Canis lupus familiaris: one gene and its partner. The protein of the gene in region 2 binds, or shares a complex with, the protein of the main gene of each other region. Links are inferred from orthologs where the notes say so. Each region holds a gene or a part of one and is shown on either strand. Other genes may lie near its edges. The genes, in order: CNOT6 and CNOT10.

Region 1 (3,912 bases), on a different chromosome or scaffold from region 2:
ATCAAGATGGAAGCTAAGGATTAACACTGAAATTGGAACATTTTTCTAGACAATAACGTTAAGTTCCATTCACAACAATAAAGCGTATACAAGCACTGCATACCTACAAATCCAAGCCTTTTCTGCATTAAAATACATGTCCTTAGCTGAACCTATTTGGACCTTTCCAAAGCGATAAACACTTTAAAAGCAGAGCTTCTCAGGGGCTCATGAGTAGCTCAGTGGTTGATCCTGGGATGGAGTCCACAGGGAGTCTGCTTCTCCCTCTGTCTATGTCTCTGACTCTATGTGTTTCTCAAGAATAAATAAATAAAATCTTAAAAAAAGAAAAAAAGGAAGGGCTTCCCAACCAGTCTACTCTGCATATGGGGAAGTTGCCAGTGTGCAAATATTGGTCTCTTGCCCTTATGACCCAAGGTCTACAGCTGTGAGCACCACTGACCATTTATTCCAGTATGCCTTACATACATTATGCCTTTCATTGCACTAGGATATGAAAAACGCTTATGCTTCAAACAACGTAAGAAGGTTAACATGTACCTAGTGGAATGCCTAAGCACTGACCGAAATGTGAATTTATCACTACAAGTACAGTGGGCAAATTCCTTTAATGCCTTTATCTGCAGCAAGGACCAAGTTCTATAATCAACTTAACAGTCTGAAATTTAAAAAAAAAAAAAAAAAAAAAACAGTCTGAAATTTCACAAAAATTGTAGGTTCAATTTGCCACCAAGATTTAAGAAACCTGAAAACACCTACAAACCAAGTATGTATTCAAAGGGCTTCTTCAGGGATCCCTGGGGGGTGCAGCGGTTTAGCGCCTGCCTTTGGCCCAGGGCGCGATCCTGGAGACCCGGGATCGAATCCCACGTCGGGCTCCCGGTGCATGGAGCCTGCCTGCTTCTCCCTCTGCCTGTGTCTCTGCCTCTCTCTCTCTCTCTGATGTGACTATCATAAATAAATAAAAAAAAAAAATTAAAAAAAAAAAAACAAAGGGCTTCTTCATCAACATTACCACTGAGACACTTCTGAAACTATGCACGTATCAACTCTCAGAGCAAATCTTCTCAGTCTCACAAGAAAACTTGTCTTCTATTCCATTCTTGTTTTGACTACTTTAGTATCTTGTTTAACTGCAAACTGAAGAGACACAACTACCACAAATAATTTCTACCCATTAAAACACCTTCTGCCCTCCCAAAAGAACTAATCTCCAGCAAATACCACATAGACTCATGTGCTTTCCCTCTTCACTGCAAGCACGTTGGCCACGTCACTTGAACCTTTCTAGGTCTGTTTCCACAGTCATAGCTTTTCAAATATTTTGTTTAAAGCATGTTGACTAGACTAGATCACTGGTCAAAAAAATATGAAGCAATTTTAACTCTAACAGACATCACATTCTGAAGACTGTGACAACTGTTCTGACAGCAATTACAAAGAAAATCTTCAAAACCTTTTGATCTATGACCACATCAGCCCGGAAAGCCTGCAGAACTGTTCTGGAATGGCAAACCCTAGCGTCCGGTGAAAAACAATCAGTGCCATTACCCGCCGTTTTATTTTTCACTAGTTCATACTCCCTCTCTTCCTCCCTAAAATGAAATTTCCAGACACAAGAATGTAAGAAATTCCATACTAGCACTAATGAGACAACGCACCTAGAAAACAGTAAGTATGGGAACTCAAAGTCAAGCAGATTATTTAAATTACCTCAGCTCAACACAGTACACGCAAGATGGGTCAAGCAAGGGTACCTGCACAATGCTGTCATCTGCGGGAACAGTTAAAGAAAAGATCACAGGTGTTCCTTAGCAGGCTCTCTGGGGGGAAAGGGAGGGAGAAAAGTGTCAAAGAGAAAAAGTTTCCAAAGAAAATAACGACTGGTGTTTAGAAATAAAAAGGGAGACATGCGGTTGGGGTTACGGGAGGAAACTGCTTCCAGTAAGTTCTGAGCGATACCAGGAATCTCTCCGTCGGGGGCTAAGTAAGGGCCTCTGAATCAGGTCCCCGTCACTCCCGCCCACTTCCCCCCAGTCTGCGTTCAGATGAATTCGAAAGACTTTCGGGGTAGGGGGTCAACCGCTGGTTTACCGCGTTGCGGTAACCGCGAAGCTCCACACTCCACGACGCACAATCCCACACGGCCACTCCGCCAGAGTTGCCACCCATCCCGGCCGAGAGGCGCGGACACCCGGCTCGCCGCCCGCGCCCCGCCCCCGCCCCCGCCCCCGGCGCGCCCCGCCCCCGCCCGCGCCCCGCCCGCGCCCCGCCCCGCCCCGCCGTCAATCAGCACCCCCCGCCCCCCGGGCTGGGCGCGGGGGCGCGGCCTGGGAGCCGGCCGGATCAGCACGGCCGCACTTCGGAGGCCCCCGACAGCCGCCGCTTCGGCCGAGCCGCGGGCTCGCCAGCCTCACAACTCAAACCGCCCGCGCCGTGGCCCCGCGCGCCGCGACCGAGCGGGCCCCGCGCGCAGCCAGTGCGGGGAGCGCGCCCGGCCGGGCCTCGGGCCCGCCGTGCTCACCTCTCGGGGTGCGCCGCCTTCCTCCGCCGCTGCCGCCGCCTCCTCCCTGTGAGTGCAGCGGGGTCTGACCTGTGGAACCACCATACCAGTCCCGCCCGCTGCTGCAGCGCCGCCGCCGCTCCGCCGCCGCCTCAGCCGCCGCTCTTTGTTCCCCCTTCGAGCGCCACCGCGTCAGCCGCCCCGACGGGCCACCGCTACGCCCTCCCGCCCTCTCGGCCTCCCGCCTCGCCCTCCGCGCTGCGCCCGCTGCCGCCCTCGCCTCCGCGCCGCCGACGCCGCCTCCACCGCCGCCGCCGCCGCCTCCTTCGCGCCCCCCTCGTTTTCATTGAAAGCAAACAAGCATCATGGCGGCGGCCCCGTCCCCCAGCCAGCGAGCACCCCGACCGCCGCCGCCGCTCCAACATCCCGGCCGCCCATTGGCCGCCGCTGCCGGGCGCGACCATTCGCCGTGCGGCGGGGGGGTCGCTCCCCAAGCCCCGCCCCCCGGCGCCCCTCCGCGCTGCGCGGCGATGGGCCGGCCCGGCACTCTCCGGGGCCCCGCTCCCGCCCGCTCCCGCCCGCTCCCGCCCGCTCCCGCCCCGCGCGGTGTTCTGTCCCGCTGGGTCCCTGCTCTCTCCCGCCACTGCCCTCCGTTTTGCCGTCCGTCCTCTCTTTCTGGTCTGGTCTCGGGCTGTCCACTTTTGTGTGCTGTCTTCCCACCGTTTCCTCGCCTCCTTCCCCTCGTTCCGCTGTCCGTTGGTGGGAATGCGGGGCGGCCCGCGACCTGACTTCAGCCGCCGCCGTGGCCTGCCCGAGGAGGCCTCCGGTCCTGAGCAGCCGCCTGCTGCTTGCCTCGAACGGGCAGGAAAAAATGAACTCGTGCCCCGTTTCGGCCCATTCAGGGCCGCGCAGTACAGTAAGTAGGCTGTGGTGGAGGGGTCCCAGCCAGAGCCCCAGCCCGAGGTCTGCCTTCGGAAACCGAGCTGTCGGGCAGCCCGGGGGGCGCAGCGGGTTAGCGCCGCCTGCAGCCCGGGCCGTGATGCTGGAGCCCCGGGATCGAGTCCACGTCGGGCTCCCTGCGTGGAGCCTGCTTCTCCCGCTGCCCCTGTCCCTTGCCCCTCTCTCTCTCTGTCTCTGTCTCTGTCTCATGAATAAATAAATAAAATATTTTTAAAAAGAAATCAAGCTGTTGTCCTTAGGTGGCGAGGAAGGCGAGCAGAGATCACTGGGCATGGTGCTTGCTTCGGGGCACGTTCCTGACAGGTGGCTGAGACCCCGTGCTGGAGCCAGACTGTACAGAGGAATCCGGCCCCACCCTGGCCCTAGTAAGTTCCCCGTCTAGGCCGAGAGAGACGTCCAACAAACGTTCTTTAGAGGGGCATGCATGGGGAAAGGATGGCCGTCCGTCC
Region 2 (3,812 bases):
TGTGAGAACATATTCTTTGTTGATTGTTTCTTAGGTCCACTCGGCTGTTGAAGAAATGGATGGATTAGATGATGTAGAGAACAGCATGTTGTATTACAATCAGGCAGTCATTCTTTATCATCTGCGGCAGTACACAGAAGCGATAGCAGTTGGTGAAAAGCTTTACCAGTTCATAGAACCTTTTGGTATGTTCTGTCAAAATTTTTCCGTTGAAAATTTCCCTATTTTCAGGGGACCTGGGTGGCTCAGTCAGTTAAGTCTGACTGAGCCTGACTCTTGATCTCAGCCCAGGTCTTGATCTCAGAGTTGTGAGATCAAGCCTAAGTTGGGTGGGCATGGAACCTGCTTGGGATTCTATCTCTTCCTCTGCCCCTCTCCCACTATAAAAAAAGAATTCTGTATCTTCTCATACTTGCAATGGCCTCTGGTACTTTTACCTAATTAACCTAAATCAGGGAATTACTTGTTACTATTTATGAAAAAAGAAAAAAGCTATGTCAGATTTTCTTAATAGAAAAGATAAAAATGACATTACTTTTAGATGAACCTAGGTTTTCTTTCAGCATTTCCTCCTCACTCTATTTTTAAAAACAACTGTTAGAAATGATGTCTCTTGGGATGCCTGGGTGGCTCAGCAGTTGAGTGACTGCCTTTGGCTCAGGGCATGATCCCAGAGTCCCAGGATCGAGTCTCACATCGGGCTCTCTGCATGGAGCCTGCTTCTTCCTCTGCCTATGACTCTGCCTCTCTCTCTATCTCTTGTAAATAAATAAATAAAATCTTTAAAAAAATGATGTTTCTGATTGGAAAGATTTAGTGATTTTTGTTTGCTCTTTTTACACTACCTAGTGTACCCAATCTTGTTACTTGGGCAATATATTAAGAAGTATTCGGAGATATTAAGGGACAATTTTTTTTTTTTTTTTGTCCATTGCCTCACTGACATTTTTGTGGGTAATTATAGAATTATAGAATAGATAGTACAGACTATCTTAGCATTTTTTTATATCTTAATTAGCTTGCAGTTACTAGCCTTGAGTAAGTATAATAAGAAAGGTGAAGGCAAAGGAACAAAGAGGGAGCAAATAAAGTAGCAAAGCCTGACTCAGGAAATGGTTGTTAGGGCTGTTTGTTTTCAACTCACAATCAGTCAGATTTCAGTTGTGATTCACATTTTTGTCTTTTTCTTACATTACTTTCTTTTGCATTTAAAACACTAATGCCAGTTCCTGATTTATAAATACCTGATTGCTGATCAGTCCCCACAGGAGAAGAGGTAGAGTGTGATGGCACCTCTGTGGGGCTTTAGAAGAGTTACAGGATCGCCTTTGCTGTCAACTGGTTGAACAGCTGCTTACTATGGATCTAGGGAGGCATTTTTAAGATACTCCTCTTCTGTACTGTGGGTGTGGTGGCTGGGCAGATTGGGCAGGAGAAATACCAGTGGTGAAGATGGTATAAATTGTGACCTTTCTCTATGAAGCTAGAAATCAGAATTCTACTTCTAGGATGACACAGATGTGTTTTTCTATATAGCTGGGGGTTTTGTTGGTTTTTTTGTTTTTAAAGTAATCTCTACGCCTAAGAGGGGCTTGAATTTATGACCCTGAGATCAAAGTCACATACTCTACCAACTGAGCCAGCTGGGTCCCCCTACAAAGCTGGTCTTTAGGATTTCTGAAACAATTCATCAAATCCTATTAATCTATATTGTGGCTGAGTATAGAATATAGCAACCAACTAGGGATCCCTGGGTGGCGCAGCGGTTTAGCGCCTGCCTTTGGCCCAGGGCGCGATCCTGGAGACCCAGGATCGAATCCCACATCAGGCTCCCGGTGCATGGAGCCTGCTTCTCCCTCTGCCTGTGTCTCTGCCTCTCTCTCTCTCTGTGACTATCATAAAAAAAAAATAAAAAATTAAAAAAAAAAAAAGAATATAGCAACCAACTAGATAGAATTCAATTTTTTTATTTTTATTTTTTTTTTTTATGATAGTCACAGAGAGAGAGAGAGAGAGAGGCAGAGACATAGGCAGAGGGAGAAGCAGGCTCCATGCACCGGGAGCCCGACATGGGAGCTAAACCACTGAGCCACCCAGGGATCCCCTAGAATTCAAATCCATTTTTCTTAGGGGGCGCCTGAGTGGCTCAGTGAGTTAAGCCTTTGGCACAGGTCATGATCCCAGGGCCCTGGGATAGAGCACCGTACCAAACCAGGCTCCTGTTCAGTGGGGAGTCTGCCTCTCTCCATCTACCTCTTCCCCGGCTTATGCTCTCCCTCTCTCTCTGTCTCTCAAATAAATAAGTAAAATCTTAAAAAACATAAACAAAACTTAGTCTTTGCTCTTTAGAACTTTTTGGGGAGGAGTGGTCTGGTATGTTTGCTTCACTTTGGATTATAACTTTTCTTTTCCTGTTTCTTTCCCCCCAGAAGAAAAATTTGCCCAGGCGGTGTGTTTTTTGCTTGTAGACCTTTATATATTAACCTATCAAGCTGAGAAAGCTTTGCATCTTCTTGCTGTCCTAGAAAAAATGATATCACAGGGTAACAATAACAAAAATGGAAAAAATGAGGTAAGTGTTCTGAGGTGATCAGATTAAAGTTTATGGTTAATATTTGGGGTTATTAAATATTTTAACAGCTTTATTGAAATATAATTCACTATACAAAATGGTCAATATTGTTAATAATACCATAGGATTACATACTTGAAAGTGGCTAAGAGACATTGCGAAGGATAACTAGGAATCCAGCATATGATGTTGGTAGTGTTTATACCAGAGAAAGTTTTTAAGAAGGGACTGACATGGGGCGCCTGGGTGGCTCAGTTAAGTGTCTATCTTCAGCTCAGGTCATTATCCCAGGGTCCTGGGTTGAGCCTCGCCTGTGTCAGGCTCCCTGCTCAGTGGAGAATCTGCTTCTTCCTCTCCCTCTGACCCTAGCCCACTCTTTTCTCTCTCTCTCTCTCTCTCTCTCTCTCTCTCTCTCAAATACATAAATACAAATCTTTAAAAAAGAAAAACGTGGACTTCAAAAGGTTAAAAAAGACAAAAAAGGGAACATGATCCGTTCTGGGTTTCAGAAAGATAATCTTGAGTTTTGCCTGAGTACGATCCATGCTTTTTAAACCTGGCGTATCATTATATTCAATGGGAGCTTCTCAAAAGTAGTTTCCTCCAAACAAAACAAAACAAAGTAAGTTTCCTGTTACCCATTCCAGACTATTATACCTGAATCTCTGAGAGTGAGACCTGGGATTCTGTAGTTCGAAAATGCTTTCTAGATGATTCAGATTAGCTTCCTTGGAAATTACTGATTTAAATTATGGTAAAAAATATATATATTTAATGGTAAAAATATATATATATTTAATTTTGGTTAACTTTGTTTTACCACTACAGACTGGTAATAACACCAACAAAGACGGATTTAATCATAAAGCTGAAAGTGGAGCCCTAATAGAAGCTGCAAAATCAAAGATACATCAGGTAGCATACACTCTAAGAGAGATTTTATTATCATGTATATTTACTAATAGTTATGAATGATAAAGAATGTGATAAATCGTTGGAAGAAGTAAATAATTTGAGGCATGTATGTTTGTTTAGCTTTGAAGTATTGTAATTTAAAAGCACATTTATTCTTCTGACTATATTTGCCTAAAATGATAATGCAGTATCTTTCAATTTCTTGATAAGAGATTGAGAGAAATGGCCTGGGAATGTATTGGATGATAAAATCAGTTTGTAGACTATTAAAATTCATTCTTTTTTTTTTTTTTTTAAGATTTTACTTATTGATTCATGAGAGACA

Evidence for each region.
Region 1: CNOT10 (region 2) and CNOT6 share a complex: the UniProt entries of both Homo sapiens proteins name them as parts of the CCR4-NOT complex. The link is inferred for Canis lupus familiaris from reciprocal best matches to the Homo sapiens genes CNOT10 and CNOT6.

Annotation. Positions count from the first base shown.
Region 1 is NC_049232.1:1,536,625-1,540,536, forward strand, and holds the start of CNOT6 (CCR4-NOT transcription complex subunit 6), read right to left. Parts: upstream 2,731-3,912; 5' UTR 2,525-2,730; exon of another isoform or gene 2,456-2,524; intron 1,824-2,455; exon of another isoform or gene 1,714-1,823; intron 888-1,713; exon of another isoform or gene 760-887; intron 1-759. UniProt on the Homo sapiens protein: Poly(A) nuclease with 3'-5' RNase activity.
Region 2 is NC_049244.1:4,228,812-4,232,623, reverse strand, and holds part of CNOT10 (CCR4-NOT transcription complex subunit 10), read left to right. Parts: intron 1-34; coding exon 35-185; intron 186-2,429; coding exon 2,430-2,572; intron 2,573-3,400; coding exon 3,401-3,487; intron 3,488-3,812. UniProt on the Homo sapiens protein: Component of the CCR4-NOT complex which is one of the major cellular mRNA deadenylases and is linked to various cellular processes including bulk mRNA degradation, miRNA-mediated repression, translational repression during translational initiation and general transcription regulation.